Arabidopsis thaliana: one gene and its partner. The protein of the gene in region 1 interacts with the protein of each later gene in a pairwise test. Each region holds a gene or a part of one and is shown on either strand. Other genes may lie near its edges.

What was found.
Region 2: the proteins of AT3G15640 (region 1) and AT5G47060 interact in a two-hybrid assay, tested with the Arabidopsis thaliana proteins (one study listed by BioGRID).

Annotation. Positions count from the first base shown.
Region 1 is NC_003074.8:5,294,969-5,304,798, forward strand, and holds AT3G15640 (Rubredoxin-like superfamily protein), read left to right. Parts: upstream 1-4,022; 5' UTR 4,023-4,304; coding exon 4,305-4,482; intron 4,483-4,698; coding exon 4,699-4,784; intron 4,785-4,978; coding exon 4,979-5,029; intron 5,030-5,900; coding exon 5,901-5,967; intron 5,968-6,093; coding exon 6,094-6,173; intron 6,174-6,334; coding exon 6,335-6,403; 3' UTR 6,404-6,777; downstream 6,778-9,830. Other genes in the region: UVR3 (DNA photolyase family protein), read right to left, coding at 1-42, 128-214, 435-506, 586-765, 857-937, 1,049-1,120, 1,221-1,580; AT3G15630 (plant/protein), read right to left, coding at 2,220-2,543; AT3G15635 (uncharacterized protein), read left to right, coding at 2,428-2,549, 2,737-2,818. UniProt on the Arabidopsis thaliana protein: This protein is one of the nuclear-coded polypeptide chains of cytochrome c oxidase, the terminal oxidase in mitochondrial electron transport.
Region 2 is NC_003076.8:19,113,510-19,122,580, forward strand, and holds AT5G47060 (hypothetical protein (DUF581)), read left to right. Parts: upstream 1-3,275; 5' UTR 3,276-3,333; coding exon 3,334-3,686; intron 3,687-3,949; coding exon 3,950-4,130; 3' UTR 4,131-4,708; intron 4,709-4,955; downstream 4,956-9,071. Other genes in the region: AT5G47070 (Protein kinase superfamily protein), read right to left, coding at 5,174-5,644, 5,751-5,873, 6,089-6,340, 6,633-7,019; LCR20 (low-molecular-weight cysteine-rich 20), read right to left, coding at 8,994-9,071. UniProt on the Arabidopsis thaliana protein: May act as an adapter to facilitate the interaction of SnRK1 complex with effector proteins, conferring tissue- and stimulus-type specific differences in the SnRK1 regulation pathway.

The DNA of each region.
Region 1 (9,830 bases):
TTGAAGGCATTGATAAAAGTACCTCGAAGAAAGGCATCCGAACTTCTTAAATGTCAGGAATTAGATGGAAATATTAGGAAAATCGAGGGTGAAGCTTAAGTGGGCAAAACTATGTCATGAAACTCACTTTCAAATATGGTGACATAACTGTAGTAGCAGGCTTCAAGAAAGCAGATGGATCACCCTTTGGTTTCTCAAAGTTTGCCACCCATGCCTACACTACAAATAAAACCCATAACGAATTCAGCCCTTGACTTTGATAAAGAAGATATAAATCTATGAAGTCAATGTAAGAATATCAATTCTAAAATCTTAAAGTGATAAAATTCAAGTTCTCCAGGAGTAAGTTTCCTTCAGTCCGACAAAGTACTCAATCGAGCAGATTCCTACCATTTTTTTCTAAAAGAGAAAAACTTCCAAGTTCTTGACCATACCTTATCACTGATTGATTTAGTCAATCTTTTTAAGGCTTCTGATTCACCACCTCTAAAAGGAGTCCAATCAGCCTACAGACATTTACATGAGCATAAGATTCTCAGATGGATAAATTGTTAAACGACCTAAAGAAAACAGATCACCTCTTACTTGTTCATCATCTTTGTAGCCAAGTTCCTCAAGAGATGGTACTTCTGAAATGCCAAGGTTTCCAATATCTCCAATTGGAGGAAGTGAAGAATAAGACATCACAAGTTCAGATTTAGCACATGAGGGCTCCCCAGCAACCTTCAGAAATGATTGATAACTCAAAGGTGGCTTCCCACCGTTCTAACTTGCAAGAAAACCACACAAATGTACATAAATATTACAGTTCCATAAATGAAACATCTAAACTAACTCGGTTAACACTACCACTTACTTTCTCTATAATGTGTGCGGGATTGAACAGAGTATGGCTCACTGGAGAGAAAACCTCAACTCCAGTTGAAGAAGCATAATCCTATAGAGATTATAAAAATGCACTTGAGTTAGCTAAAATCTCAATGACACGCATAGTTCAATCAGTGGTAAGCAAGATCAAAACTTTAAGGCGTAATGAAACGAATTTTACCTTAACCTTAACATCTAAAGCTTGATAATACGGATCTGTATCATATTCAAAGCAAAGCCTCTTCACCTTCCACTGCCAAAAACCCCATTCATAACATTTCAGATTTCTATGTCTACAGTAAACCAATTTCACAGCTTTTAAACACACTGTCGAATAAGAAACACTACATTACCTCTTGCAAGCAACGAACTAGTACTTCGCCAGGTTCACCTTTAAAAACAAGCAACCGTGAACCAAGTTTCTTCAGGCTAGAATCGAGATCCTTGAGACTCTCAAGCAAGAACCGGATCCGGTTTACCCCGGCGCGAGACGAACCGGGAGAGAACGCAGATGGGTCTGACTCCATATAATGCGGGTCGATAACAAAAACCGGATACATAAATTCAGAACCTTTTGAGGCGTATTCAAGAGCCGGGTTGTCGTGAACCCGGAGACCTTTCCGGAACCAAATCAGTGAACCGGATCCAGTAGCCATTGATGTTATGGGATTGAGACGATAACTTGAAGGTGAACAGACGCAGAATCGTTGCATGAATATGTTTGAGATTTCTATAGAAGTTTCTTTTGAGAAATTCGCGCCTTTGAAAAGCGCGAGAGAAGGTTTCTTAAGACGAAGATGTGGTTAATATACGCTTCTTCAACTCTGTGTTTGCTAATTTGCGCGGTAATCAGCGTAAGATAAAAGAAGGGAATAGGTTATTATCAACGGTTATATTTAGGCCACGTCATTACTAAGGAGCAACATCATTTGGGCGATGTGTTCAATTATCCAACATTTAGTGCTTATTAGTATCCATGATTAGTGAAATTAAGAAAATTTACTTCATATATTTGAGATTGCAATCGTAATTATATTTGTATACTAACATTTTAATCTTTATACGTGTTGAACATATCTACCGATCCAACAGTTAGCATTAACAACTGAGGAAAAAAAAAAAAAGCATTAACAACTGACAACAAATAAAAAGCTAAACTAACTAATGATCCAACGGTTCACAATAAAGCAACATCATACACGATCCAGACCGTACAAACAGAAAACGACGCCGCACAATAAAGCGGTTCTTGAGTATCATCGTAAACAAAAAGTTATTCTTCATCCCATAAAAGAGAGACATTTTAAGTTCGACGAATTATTGATTATTTCTGGATCCGTGACCCGATCCAGTTACTTCTTGACCCGAACGTCAGACGCGAGTCGCGACGCGATCGCAGAATGGTACATAACGTCGTGGAATGTAGAAGCTTCGGCGGTTTTCCTCCGCAGCTGCTTAGCCTTCTCCTCCGTGAGACAACATCGCAGAGACCTCTTTTCAGCTTTATCCAGATCTGATTCCAGATTCACGGTTTTGTTGACGTAATCAGGTTCCGATGACATGCCAAAAAGAGGAGCCCACCATGAAACCGACGAAACAGGTTTCTTACGGGCTGGATCCGATTCGGAAGATGCTCGGATCGAGGAAAGAGCGGAGCAGGAGATGATTGTAGCCATTGTTAGGTAAAATGTGGTTATCTGAGAGAAAGCTCAAAGCTGTTTTTAGGAAGAAGAGAAAGATTAAGGATTTGTAAATTTTTGGATTAAGAAAAGAAAATGGATATGTAGATATTTAGGTGGAATCAGCTGCTATGCGGTGTGGTTTTTTATAGTGTGGAATGTTCGTTTCACTGGTTTTTATCAACGTAAGGGTATTTTCGGAAAGAGTGTGCAACGGTAAATGCGTTGTGCACTACGATAAGTACGGTGGAGATGAGAGCACTGGATTATAAAAAAATTTAGGAGATGGATAAGATTGAAGGCGTGGAGCAGCGTTGCCAATTGTCAAATGTCTTCGTCTTCACTTTTCGCTTTAATTATTTGTTGATTAGGATATTTTTGTTTGGATTTTACATTGCTTGTGTGACTTGTCGCTTTGACAATATCCAAAATGACGTGTACTCATTGGAAAATAGAGTTCAACTATTATGGAATATTCTTAAATCAGGAATAATCGTCGGTGATATTTGACTATATCTCTTTCAACGTATTTCGAACTCGTAACAAAATGTCAGTCTTCTTTTATCAAACGGCAAAATGTAAAGGTAAATGCATGTATATGATGTGATCATTTGCATGGAATAGGAGTTTTTGTTAGATTTACGAATGCTGAACGCATATAAGTCTTTTAAGACTCATGGTATTATACTATTATTGCATGTTTCATCAGCCATAAATAATGTGCAGAGAAAAACTAACTAACAAAACATTGATTATATATTTTATTGTATCTAATAAGTAATAACTAAAATAATTAGAGCTAAGTGATTGACTGATTTCCTTCGTTATTTTGAATTCAATTTTTGGGCTTTTTCCTATTTGGCAGATTCGTATCACATTAGCAACACTAGGGATTTCTGTTTTAGTTGCAAGAGAAGATAAAACGTTATAAAGCCCAAAAGACCCAATTGGTGAAGCAAGCCCGCATAAGAAAAAACCCAAATGTTGAACCAAAAAGATGAGGATGCAAACTTTTCACGCTAGTGTCGTACTAACGGAAAACTTCATATTTGGAGACATCGAGTAGATTTTTTTTATCTATGAGAAAAATAATTCATCTAGAATTTTATTGAGGATATGAGTATAAGATAATAATGAAAGAAACTATTAATTGTGTACGTCTTTATCGTTCATATGTTTTGTTCAATGGACATATATATACATTCTACACACAAACTACTATACCACGATTTTTTTTATGCTAACATTACCTCTAGCTACAGACAGAAGTAGAAAGAAAACCAAAACCATCAGGTATTACATTTGAAGTTTTGAATTGTGGAATTCTCAACGAGGTTCGAGGAACATGAATTTGGTTGCTAACTAAAGCAACTTGCTTGTGCCTGTGTGCATAACTGGACTGAGGAAAAAATAATCCTTACATGTCCATTTCATCATAATTTCATTTTGTAGTATATGCATCATTGTATCATTATTTCCACTTGTATCACTAATTCCACTTGAAATGTCACACAATATAGGGTCCCCTGACACGTGTGTACTATGTAGTTTCACACGTACCGGTTAATATCGAGATTCCAAGTAAAAAAGTGACCAATTCTAAATTAAGAATCTCTCTAATCTCTTCCCAAAGAAGAATCATCACTGAGGAAGAATAAAACATTTGGGGAGTTTCTTCGCTAATCCTTCAAGGTGTGACCTGAGAATCACAACACAAAACAATCTCACTCGAAATTCCTTTGACTCATCATCATCACCATGTGGAGAAGAATCGTCTCCTCTCAGCTCAAAACCCTAGCCGCCGATGTCGTCGCTGCTTCTCCTCGTCGATCGATAGCCGCCACCACCAGACCTGTCGGTTTCTATCTCGCCGCCAATCGATCAGCCATTTCCGCATCTTCTTTCGTTATCCCTCGTCGTTTCAGCTCCGATTCAGGTGATTCATCGTTGCTATAGTTTACGCATTTTCAGATCTCGGCTCAGGACTCTTACCTGCGCTGGAATTAGATTCGATTCACTATGTTTTCTTCATCGCATATTAGAGGATAGACTTAAATCTGTGTTGGTCTCTTAGATTGGTGTTGCTGCAATTTTGTTTTCATCTTCTCAATTGGAAGGTGAATGATTGTTTATTACGGATTGTATTTTGCAGTAGAGACTCCTGCGACGAAGAAGGTGGAGGATGTAATGCCCATTGCGACTGGACACGAGAAGGAAGAGCTTGAAGCTGAACTTGAGGTGATTGCTTATGTTTACTTTATGTATTGCAATTTTAAGATCTGAGTATGATTACAATTGTGTTTGTGATCATGACTTCACTTCTCGATAATTTTCTGGTATAGCAATGCCAATGGAGTGTATATTTCTGCTTGATAATACACTTCAGTTGAGGAAAATTTGATTTTGACTTTTTCATTGTTTTCTTGTGATAGGGAAGGAGGCTGGATGATATTGACTTCCCTGAAGGTCCTTTTGGAACTAAGGTTAGATAAGTTTCTTTTACCAGAGATATGTCGTGACTCCTCTTTGAATATCTTAACCTTGTTTTTTACTGCAAAGTCATCAGTGTTTCTAGGCATGATATAGTTCTTATGTTCATCACTAACACACGGGCATACGTGAAACAAACCAAGGACACTTAACTTAGCTCGAGTATTATGAATGGCTTTATGATAAATGTAGCTGTTTCAATGATCTCAATTAACTAGAATAAGTATGTATCTTGAAACTTATTGCTTCTTCAAAACTAATATGAGTCCAGCTGGTTTACTGACTTATATCGATCAACTTGCATTCTTTGCTATGGTTCATAATATTGCTTTAGCAGGATTACTATATCATGCAGCAATCACTTTGTTATGTCGTTTTGGAGCTAAATCATCTTGATATTACACTGGTCATATTTCTGGATTTTTATTTTTTTTTGTGAATAATGTAATTAGTATATTTCCTTCAATCAAGCACTAGCTTGGGGTTGAATCATATATTGGTTTTGGTGAATTAAAATTAACTCTAAGCTGTGTTTGTTAATTTACGGTGGCTCACTGCCTATGATGCTTTTGTGCACGATAATGACGAAAAGATTGCGGATGTCACATACAACATGTGCAAGTGTCTGTAGATCATGGAAATTCAGTTCTTAACATCCATAAAAAACTTGCTCCAAATTACTGAAGATATGTAGGAGTATATGACTGTTTTGCATGCTATGACAAGACATTTGATTTTTTCATTTTCTTGTGTCATTTTATCTTTTGAGTGAGCAGTATTCATTTTCTTTTGGCTACACAATTGGATACTTATTTTTTCATTTTCTTGATACACAAATTTGGATGTCATTTTGTATTGCCTTAGGAAGCTCCTGCTATTGTGAAGTCCTACTATGACAAGCGAATTGTGGGCTGCCCTGGTGGTGAAGGCGGTAAGTTCTTCCCTTCTTCAAACTTTAGTCGCATATTATGGACAATCTTTAATCGGCAATCGTTGTTGTCATTGAATATATCAAGACACATTATTTACCAATCTAACTTTCTCCTGAAAACTGCAGAGGACGAGCACGATGTTGTCTGGTTCTGGCTGGAGAAAGGAAAGTCCTTTGAATGCCCGGTTTGCACTCAGTACTTTGAGGTAAGTGAAAGTCGTATCAGATACTCTACTCAGTAAATAAATCGACCTAGCCTCTCATTTCATAGTCATAGGCCAGACGAATCTGTCAAAGGATTAGAGCAAGAACTCATTAAGCTTTCGAATTCAGAATATTGAATTGGTTGAATAATGTATGCTTGCAGCTGGAAGTGGTTGGTCCTGGTGGTCCTCCGGATGGTCACGGTGACGAAGACGATGAGCACCACCACTGATTCCGGCCTCTCCCTTGCCGCAAATTTTTCTTTTTTTATTTGCACATTTTCATATCTTTAAAAATTTTATGAATGGAATAAAACAAAATATCTACCGTTTTGGTGAAACACAGTTGAAAATGTTTTTTGATCTTTTTAGAACAAGACTCGGCATCAGAGTTTCCCAAGTGCCAAAACTCTTATGACCGTTGTTTTTATTTTTGTAACACTCTTGAATCAGAATCAGAATCATTCTTGGCTTTTGCTTATTATATGATTCACCTTTTATTTATTTTTATGGTTCGATGTCTTTTCATATAGGGACGTTTTGATCGTGTCCTTGATTCCTTGTGAACGGTCATATAATTCAATAGATTATAGAAATTCCAATTTTCTTCAAACCTTCTTTGTTGATTGGTTAAACACTAATTATTCATACAATGCACCTAATTTTACTTTCCTTAATTTATTGTTTACAAAAAGAAAAATAAAACGGTGGAGGTCTGTAATACATCGAGCCGCTTTTACTCCTCCGCGCAGGTGTCTTTCGATCCTGTCCTAACGTCTTTCGATTTTTTATTTTCCTCAAAGGTTAACAAATTATATATATAGAATTGAAGGTTAACAACTTTTAAGACCAAATTTTACTTGATATTGGAAACGAAATCATGCATGCATGTCGTTACTATTTCAAAATTGCGTTATTTAGCTATTTATGTCATGTACCTTTGATTTTCTCATTCTCATATCAATATTTGTTCATACTTACATGACCAAGCAGAGATTCAAATTATAGTATTTTGTTTCTCTTTGCGAACGTACCACCGTGTGAAACCAAAGCAAAACCTAACAAGCTATAAAATAGATGATAATAAAGATAAACAAAGTAGTATAGCGTTGTCGGAATTTACCCGAGGAATATATTCCAAACAATTCTTAAAAGGAGGAGTCATTAAAATAAACAAATACAACTCTAAAGAAAAAGAACGTCCGAGTTCAATATTCTGTTTCTACTTAAGACAAATCACCAAACATACAATTATTCTCTAATGTTCGACACAGCTTGCCCTCATTACAAATCCTCTCGTTTTCAAACATTTTTATTTGGTAAATATATCTCTCCTTTTTCAAACACGCATGCATGATGCATATCAGCATATATACATACATCTGGGTTTTCTACCTCAACATATATACATATATTTTAAAACATAATTTGATGTATGTCTAGTGTGATTGTGTGAAGTTAGATATAAGTACAACTAATCATATTATCGGTTTAGAACTAATGTCACGACTTTACACCGTCTCCGCTTGTGTGTTTAACAAAATAGTTAAATAAACACGTAGTATTAGCTGACTAATATACACGTGTTTAATATACTTTTTTCTCTTCGGTGTTCATACTTAAGTTTTCGTTTTGGGTCACGACACATATTTTTATATATGGTATACCAAACTTCCTTTACATATATGATATGCTGATCATCCATCCATGTGTCTCTCCGAGTTCTAATGTAGCTGCCGCATCAGAATTTTTGTCGAATTCTGAGAAAGTTACAAATATTATGTCGTATATATTTCTTCAAAATGTAACATACGGAAAAAGAAGAAAGAGTATTCTTTTCAAAATTATCATCTTTAGTTTTTAGTTTAACCAGAACTATTAAGAATACCAGAAATAAATTATAATTTGCTGATAATTTTGAAGAATGAGACATAAAAACTAAGTAACTAACTAATATAAATTCAACATTAACCTTATTTTGCAATGAAAAAAGTCTTTATTTTTCAAATTTCTAGGTAACGCTGATCTTATTTAAAAGTTAAAACATCCACTGCTGAAAATTCATGCAAAGTAGAGAGTATTAGCGCGATATCAAATACCACTTGTCTCCCAATTAAAATACTAAAAAAACTTGTAAATTGCTTGCACAAAAAGATCAATGCAATATGACTAATTTCTCTAAAGTATATATTAACATATTTCAATGTTTATCCATACAGCTACGGGACATTTCATCCTTCACTCCTTTAACTCACTCACTTGCTAGTTGCTACTTGATAATACTTTTTTTTACCGGATAATTTACAGATAAATGAACAATATATACTTTAGTGAGTTGATTAAATTAACTTATTAAGGTTGAAATCAGTATAAAGTGATAATGAAATGTATACCTATGAATATATCTCACACACTAAGAAAAACCTATGCAATCTATTTTTGTATACAGAATTACAGACGAAGTCACGAAGGCATCTCGTATCTTGTATTATGTAGAAAGAAAATACCCTTCTTTGGAAGTATTATATTCATCAATTCAACTTCTATATTAGAGTAAAATAATCATGTTGGTATTTTTTTTTTCTCGTGTCTAAATAGTTTAAAATTAATTGGCAGAGACACATTTCAGTGATCGCTAATAACCTTAACCAAATATAAAGAATGGCACGAATAGTACTTCTTTTCGATGTGCTCGCTAGCTCGAAAAAAATAGTACGAGAAAAATATATAACAAGGAAGACATTGTTTTAATCTGCAGACATGCTATTAGAATTCTTTACTATTTCCTCGGCAGAAAAGAAAATTTATTTATAAGTTTAAGAGTACATATTCTCTAATCGATGGGATTTATGCAAGTCATATTAAAGTTGCATAAACCTTTAATGGGTTAACCTTTTATTAAACAAACTTTTAATGGATTTTAATAGCCCTTCATCACACGAACGAACAAACGCTATATACTTTTTAATCCACAAATTAGCAAACTAACATTGTAGTGCTGAAAGCATCTATTGTCTTGTTTTGTGTCAATTAATAAGAAATAATTTATCAACCATTTTTTCTAATTTGGGTTGACTATTCACCACCAATTTTAATGAAATCGGTGGGTCACTAAAAGAGTTGACTAGCCAAAAGCTAAAACAAGTTATAAAAAAAAACGCAAAAGTTGTTGACCTTTGTTAAAAGTTTATGTAATCTGATGCCGTCATTACTCACTACTAAAAACTTGCAAGTAATGTCAACAATCAAATATATCATTTGCTTAGACTAAGCATTGTTAAACAGTTTTCACGGCGAATAATTTTTTTTATTTCTTATATATTTATAATTTTCTAACATACTATTGAATCTTCAGCTTCTAATATATTTAAAACTGTTGAAGTTTTAATAAGAAGCAAAAGAAAAATATCATTACTTCCCAAAAACAGAGAAATAATTTCGAAAAATTACATTTAAAATCATAAAATAACATTTCTGTAAAAGTAATCTATATAATCATAAATTACTCTAATATTGCCAATTAATATGAATTAGAAATCAAGTAGCCAACTTATTAGCAGTTGATATTTCTTCACGGATGATTAATAATTAATCATGTCGGAAGATTAGTAATCATTTCGTAAAATCTATGAAGATCTTTGTGGTATAATAGAAAAGGGG
Region 2 (9,071 bases), on another chromosome or scaffold:
TAAAGTATTCATTCATAGGTAATTTACACCGCAAGTTTAAAAAAGTTGGCTAATCAATATTTCAAAATCTCTGTCTACAAATATTTACTTGAATGATTAACACACACCCACGCATATAACTATATATAAGTATAACATATTTGTTTGACAAAAATGAAATAAATGACAGTTTTGCGGTGTAACCGTATAACCAACAATTGGGACGGTGATGGTGACTCGGTGGTGTTAATGGTGTGGACTTTAAAGTTCGTTTGAGGACGTTGTAACGTACCAAATATATCACTATTTTAAGAAGCGTATTTCTAAAACTTAAAAATGCAAACTTTTCAAATATCCTAATGAAAGGATATTTACAAAAAGTATACATAAAAGAACAGAAAATTAACTGACACAATATATTAATACTTATGCAGTACATTAGTAAAAAAAATTACATCATTATTCTTATGCCTTTTCATTTTTTATCTTTCATCTTAAAATTGGTTAACAATTAAATTACCGAGTTAAATAAAACTTTATCTAGAGGTAGTGATAATATTAATCTTATTGGAAGAGATTCATATTTTGCACGTTATAGTAACTTGTTAATTTTTTTATATGATATAATAAATAAGTTAAGACGGTAACTATAAATATATCACATAAATTATAACTTATGACGATACAAAATAACTTAGCATGATATAATTATAAACTTATTGATATAAATATTTTGTTATCATGTTAACCTAATAAGTATTACCGAGATATTTGTTATCATGTTATTCTGATAATACGTTATCTGCTAACTATTCTGATTCATGTATTTTTTACATGATTATTAAGTCGCAAGTCAACTTTTTTGCTTTATATGCTAAATATTTTGTTACTTTTTAATAATAATGTTATCGTCTTCGCATATATATCCGTATAATAACCATATTGTAACTATGACAATTTTGTAATTAATCCAAATATGAAAGATACTTTTGGTTTATATTTTTTTTCTCTTTCATATTTACCTAATTTTTAAATTATCTCTTCTACTTTTTTAATTTCAACTTCTTCTAAGTATATAAATTTAATTCACCCACTAGATTTTAACCCGCGGTATACCGCAGAGACAATTTATTTTTTAAATTAGTATATATAAAAATTTACAAATTAAATCTATTTATTTTTATTTTATAGTTTACAATTGTTATTAAATAACATCCTGCCAAACCCGTCTCGCCAAATCCGTCCCGTAAAAAAAACCCGCCGTACACCACTAATTTAAATATATAATTAAAATAAATATTTTATGGGATTGCAATTGTATTTTAGTTTGTCAAACAAATATTTGTTTTAAATAGTTGCCAAAATCTAGTTCAAATTTTGGAGAAAAAAGATTTATTGGATAGATAAAGAATGTATTTAGGTGTGTTTTGTTCATTTTAAGGGATTGCAATTATATTTTTGTTTGTCAAATATTTATTGTTTTAAATAGTTGCTGAATACTATGTGCGTGACATATGAGATTGGAATATATTTGGAATATTTTTAGTTTGTTAATCAAATTATTTCTGGAAAAAAATCAATAATTAAAATGGCAGTCATTGTAAATAAGTCTAAACTTCATAATTTATTTAACAAAATAGCTGCATTATATAGACAATAAAATGACTTTTTTTTTCCTTTGTTTCTCATATATTGATAGATCACATAATTTATTGAATTAATATATACAAACAAGAGTTCCACTAATTCTTATTTGTTATTTCGATTCCACTATTCAACAAGGTCCACACTATTATTAGAAATTCAAACTATACTTACCATAAATATCGAAATCACAACTAGTCAGTCACACACCTATTCTAACATTAGAAAAACACCGACCTCATTGCACCACTATTATTTGTAGTTGTACCTCACAAAGCACCTCCCTCAAAGTCTTCGCAAAAACGTCACCCACCACCACGAAAATTCATAACCAAATAAAACGACAATTTTGTAATTCTTGATTTAATAAAAAAATTAAGTAAAAAACAATATTCTTACCATTTTGTCGCCATATAATAAGAAGAAGAGAGACACAACACAACACAAGTAGTAGAAGTGGTGTAGTGATTACGGTGTAACGCTTATTCCAAAAACCCCACGCGCGTAGGGCCCACCTCTCCCCCGAATCCCCATGATTTTCTTTAACGTCTCTCGAGTGCTGGTGGGACCCTTGTTTTATGGAACCCTGATGTAGTTTTATGTACTTTCATTTGTGACCCTTATACTTCTGTTAATTACAATCTTGCCGCTATTTTGTTGCTTCCTTCTTGTTTTTGTTACCTTAAAACTTTTGTTTGAATGCCTTCAGAAAAAGTTTACTTCTCTTTAGACGGATGTGATCACTTGTTCAATGTAACACCACCGTAAGTTACAGTGGTTAAAATGTCTGGTAGAATTATAGCTGTATATATTTATTGATCTCTAAAAAATTAGCTTGTAGAAATTATTGTCTTTAAATTGTTAGTAGGATCCATCCAACTACTACTTAAAAAAATCTGATTAGTATAAGATATATTTATGATTAATAGAAAAATAATTTTTGTACAAGAGATTAATAACTAAGATAGTAAAATTCTATCATTTCATTTCTAAAACCAAAATAGATGAAATTAATAAATAAATAATTATTGATTTCATGTGTGTTTAAACAATTTTTTTTTGTATCACATTATGTAAAGTAACAAGTTATCAATTTCATAAAAAAATATTTACGATAATTACATTGTTTTCTTAATTTTTTTGTCGACTATATATCTTAAAAATAATGTTAAAAATGCAACAATTTTGACAGTAATTCCTAATCATACGAAAATTTTCAAACTTTGCAACTTCTTCATGTATTATTGCATTGACAATCAGTTAATAATTTTACTTTAATAATGTTGTCTAAGTAAAAAAGAAAATTAAAAGTTAATAATTGAACTAAAAAGTGAATGTCGAAAAAAAACATTTAACTTTTTTACTTAGCTCTCTCGAAAGTTCCTCAAAAACCGAAGGACGAGTAAGTCACGAAAAAGACCATTTTGTAACGCCTCTCTATCAATTATTCCTCTATGTGTCAATAAAGTATATTTCTCAAAAGGAAAACAACAAAAATGGTTTTCGATTTCTTGTACTTTCAAAAATAGCATAAAAGCCAATAGATTCTCCTCTCTCAAAGTTTCGCCCCTTGTTTTTACTTTCTCTCTCTTAAACCCCAAAAAAAAAAAAAAGATCTTTTGCTATAAAATCCCACTTCACACTTTCTTCACATCAACAACAAAACCTCTCTCTCTTTCACTTTCTCTCTAAAAACCAGAAAAAAAAAAAATGGAGCTTTCATCGAGAAAGCCTTATTTCATTGAGGAAGAAGAAGAAGAGAATTTGGCTTCTTCTTTATCAGAAATGGAAGCTGGGTTTTCTGGTAACAATAATAATAGTAATAACCATGGAAATCCCCAAAACGGTGTCGTTTCTTCAAGCCGTTTCTCTTACGGTAGATTAAACAGTCTTAGGAACAGTCAGAGTTATTATTACAATCAATACTCTGTTTCGTCTCCGAGATCTGTTGTGTCTGGAAGATTTCATGATTTCAGATTCGATATTCAACAACCTCATTTCTTGGACTCGTGTTTCCTCTGTAAGAAACCTCTTGGTGATAACAGAGACATCTACATGTACAGGTAACATCTAAGATCTATAACATCAGATCTGTTTTTTTTTTGTTTTCTATCAATTTCTCTCATTTTTAGTCGAAATTATTACGAAAGGATTGATTTTTTTCGAATACCCATTTCTTCAATCTTCTGATTAATCAATTAAACGATTCATGGGTCTGATTTCAAATTCCTCTGTTTTTGGTACAAATTCTAGAACAGAACATATTTTTAATTTTGTTGTTTCATGGGTCTGATTTGAAGTTTTTGATTTTGTGAATTTTTTGCAGAGGAGATACACCGTTTTGCAGTGAAGAGTGTAGACAAGAACAGATAGAGAGAGATGAAGCAAAAGAGAAGAAACAGAATCTGTCTCATTCGGTGAAATCAGCTATGCGGAGGAAAGAACAATCTTCACCAACTAGATCTCGTGATTATGCTTTTCACAATGGAACTGTTGCTGCTGCTTAATTAAAAATATCTGGGAACTTTGAGAATTATTATAATTAATTAGGTTAAGAAAAAAATAAGCTATATTGTATCTAACGCTATGAAGCTGGTTTTGGATCCTCTCTCTTTCTCTCGAGATCTTAAGGATCTTTTAAAACTTTAGCTTCAAGTCTTGGGAAAAAGATGAAGAAGCTAAAGATCCTTTAATTTTCTTTTCTTTTTTTGTAAGAAAAAAATAGTTTCTTGACATGAAATTTTGGGAGTATGAGAAGAGAAAATGTAAATGCCTATGTGAATTATAATAGTCCATGGCATGTTTGAGTTATATTTTTTCTTTTGTTTTTAGATTTCGGTATCAATGTCTTTCGAGGGATATACAGATGTTAAATCAAATTTTAATATGTTGAAATATGAGAATATTATACGAGAAAACAAGAGTAAGCATTTTTTTTTAACTTGCTATATAGTTTTTTTTTTGGTAAGTACTTGCTATATAGTTTAAATGACGTATTTGTGATTTGATATAAGATTGAGCAATAGTTTGAAATTGATTCTTTTTGTGGTAAGATTTGGTGACTTGCGAAAAGTGGGAAATAAAGGTATAAAATATCTTTTTCCTTCAAATGCTTTTGATAGTACAGTTTTCTTTTTCTTCACGAAATCGGTAGTACAATATTTTCTGAAACAAATAATTAGATATCTTTTTTGATTATCAGTGGACCAGAAACTCAAATAAATTGAAGTATAAATATATATATATATATATTAAAATAAGATTTGTAGAATGTAATAATGCTTAAAACGTATAAAGTTTTCATGATAAATTCCAAACAACAACATTGCATTTGCATTCGTACATAGAAAACTTTGGCTAAAACGTTACGCTATCAACATCAAAACACTCTCATAAAACTTGATCTCAATGATTCTCATTCACCGTATTGAATTTTATTTACAAAACACACAATAAGATACATTTTCTCTACTAATCTCACAATAAACCAACAAATTGCATAAACTTATTTATAATATATAAACTTGCAAAAAAACTTCTAAACTCAAAATCATCCTCTGACACTAACCCCTCTCAAACTTTGTTTCTCAGGTTTTGCAACTTGTCTCCTCCTTACCTGACTACTTTCCTTGGTCGTAGTCGTAGCCATCGGATAATCTTCACTATCCGATTCTTCGATAATCTTTTTCAATCTTTCCACTACAATTTCCATCGTAGGTCGCTCTTTATCGTTCTTTTTCAGGCAAAGATCAGCCAATTTAGCCAAACTCCTAGCTCCAGCAGCTGGATAATTGTTGCGTAACCGAGGGTCAACGATCATGCTGAAACGTTGACTATCAGCAGGATACTCTTTGACCCAATCCAATAGCCTTCGTTCAGCCACTGGCTTGTTCCTCTCAATGGTTCTGCGTCCGGTTATGATCTCGTAGAGCACAACACCGAAGCTATAGACGTCGCTCTTTAACCGAAGATGACCTGTTTGCACGTATTCCGGAGCCGCATAGCCGTGTGTTCCAACTCTCTATACATAGAAAGAAGAAGAACTGTTAAAACTTTGTAACAGATTCATCACTTTAAAGTACGAGTGAGCTTATAAAATGCACATTTATATATCAAACCAAACTTACTGCGGTAGTGACATGAGTATTGTCGCCATCAGGTCCTTCTCTGGCAAGCCCAAAGTCCGATAATTTTGGACAGAATTGATCGTCTAAAAGCACATTAGAGGATTTGAAATCTCTATATATCACCTGTCAACCAAATAAATAGGAAATTATCTTCCAATCTAAACACTAAACACACATCCCCGGTTCACAGAAGTCTCGATCCTAAACTACTAATCATGTCTCTATGACCACATTTAATATAACTTAATGTTTAACATTGTGCCTGTCCGAAAATATCAAGAACAATAAAAAGGGTCTGTCTAAAACCAGATTTCCTCTAATGGGTTTCGAAATTTTACCTTAAGATCATGTAAATAAGTCAATCCTTCAGCAGCACCAAGCATGATCTCGAGTCTTTTTTTCCACGGTAATGTGTGTGATCGACGAGGGAAGAGATGGTCTTCTAAACTTCGATTCGACATGTACTCATAAACCAAAAGCCTCTCGATCCCGGTCTCGCCGTCTTCCGAGCAATAACCTATGAGCTTCACAACGTTCGGATGATTCACTACTCCAAGAAACTGAACCTCTGCTAGCCATTGCTTGTGACCCTAATACACCATTCAAACACAGAGAAAGGAATATTACTAAAGCAACAAAGTTGACTTAATAAATGCATCCATTGACTCATACTTACTTTTCCATTTGACCATTCCACTAAATCTTTATATCAAGATTACGAAATTTCTTCAACTTTACTTCAAACAAGTGACAAAATTTGATTTTGCTTCATAATTGCATCAATCTAATCTTCTATTTCAACTTCTTAGCTTCAATTAATTGGTTAATTTATCTTCTAATGATTATATTAGCAACAAAGCAGAGAGAAGATTAACTTTTTACCTGTAAACCTTGTCGATTGAGTTTCTTGATGGCAACGACAAGTGGAGGATCAGAAGAATCTCCATTGCTGAGAATCTTTCCTTTATAAACAATACCAAATCCACCTTCACCGATCACAAGCTTTCTGCTAAACACATAAGTGGCTTTACTGAGTTCTTCGTAAGAAAAAACCCTAAGATTTTGTTCTCTCTCTGTATACAAATCTTTGATACTTCTTGGAGAAGGCAACGATCTTGGTGTCTGGAGATTAAACGAAGACGTTTCACTCCGATTCGTCAGTTCTGGAGCTGAGTTTTGTAACAACTCTTTACCTTTTCTTTTGTTCTTGTTGTTGTCTTTCTGTTGCTTTCTGGGTTTCTTTGATTTGAACAAGAACAGACAGTTCATGTCTTAAAGAGAGATAAAAAAATTCTAAAGAAAACCAGTGGAATTTTGATGGAAAACACAAAAATTAATTACTTTAGTTAAACCAGAAAATGTACTAAAAATTTGCTTTTTGGGTTTCTTAAGTTCTAAAATTGAGAAAATGGAACAAATGAAATTTGTAGAGAGAAATAAAGTTTTTTTTTTTTTGGGTTAGATTGTGGAAGAAGAGTATGAACACAGATCTATATAACAGCTTAATGAGAAAGAGATTTTTTCCTGGAAACTGAAGGAGAGAGACAACAAAACTAAAAGCCAGAGATTGAGTTTAGTATAACAAGTCTCTCTTTCTCTGCTTTTCTTTGTCGAGAAAGCAGATTAAGATGGAAAAAGACACAAAACGTTACGCCATTCCTTAAAAGATAAGGAGAAAGAAGAGAAGAAATCGTGTTTCAACACAAAAGAAAACAGAAGAAATCGCGTCCGTACGGATTACACGTTGAAAAGTATGTGTGAAAGACTCATACATTTCTAGACTCTGTATTAATAATTGTAGGTATAAATAACTTATATTGTGGAATTTTTAAAATGAATTTACAGCCTAAGACTATGTATATTAGTTTGTTTTTTAAGCACTCTTATTTATTTGCTTTTAACACTCCATATTATTTTTTATTTTTTTTCCCAGCTAATTATTCAACATCTGTTTAATTTTTAACATTTACAATGGTTTGTTTAATAATATTCAACATTTTAACCCACTATTTTTATCTCATATTTTTTATGTTTCAAATTACATATTAATAACACTTATCAAATAAATTTAAGTTAAAATAATTATAAAATACAAACAAATTATGTTTGTTGAAATCCATTTTTCTAAATGTATAAAAATTTAAACAAAAATGTATGTGAAGATAATTAAAAGAGTTATAGTAAAATAAACTTCTTTTTTTTATGTGCAAATCAAATGAAACAAGGATCTTTTTATAAAGAAATTTTTTTGATTAATTTTGATTTTAAATTCATAAAAAAATAAATTAGTTCTAATCTTAAATATTTAGGGTGAAATATAAAAATTTTCAGAATTTAATATCTAGTGAAAAGAAGACACGTGTCGCAAGTGACGCCCATTTATTTGTGTTCAACATGTTGAATCTTTTCAACTATAGTTAATCCACAAATTTTTTTTTACTTTTTCAACACCCTCATTGTAAGAGTTTCAACGGTTGAATAAACCCCCGATGCACATAGTCTAATATAAACGTAAAATTCGTTTCATTTTATTATTTTATCATATTCCACATTTTTATGTGATAGATTATGAAAAATTGCACAATATCATAAAATAAATACGAAAATATGGCAATTTTTACCTCTAATCCCACCCGAGCAGAGAACCGTCAACACTCTTCTCCATACCGATGAGCAATTCCAGCTCGCCCTTTTTGCCCCGAGGAGAACTTCGGACATGGAATCCTTTTTAACGTCACCTCGTCTTTTGACCGTGACCAACTTGTCGTCCTGATTCGCTCGTAGAAAATCTTTCGACTAACCGTGCTTTCACATGCGCCATAATGTTTTTAGCTTTTGTCTCAAAGCTCTCATGAAATCTATCTCGTTTTACTTTATCTATCATTTTATGGTATTGGAGAATGTCTCTCTTATTTATGTTTTAAACTTTGTAATATTTAAATCACTCATCCTTGTACTTGATTTGATTTAAATCTTTAACTTTATATACAGAGATTTTGGTTTTAAAAATTTTCTGACCTATTAAATATGTAATACCTAAAAGTTAATTATTAAATAATATATATGTAACTAATTCTTATGAGATTTTTCTTTTTGAACAAACAATTTCTTGTAAGTTGTAACATATCTTAAGTAGTTTTATATGGTACGATGATAATTTGCTACAATGATTATTTTATGGATTAAAATTATTATTTTATTGATGATGATTTATAGATCTCAAAATAAAGTGAACAAAAAAAATCAAACTATGCACTCATATTTGCAGAGGCATAATAATTTATGATCATCTGTTTTAATACATTTGCCAATTCCTTTCCA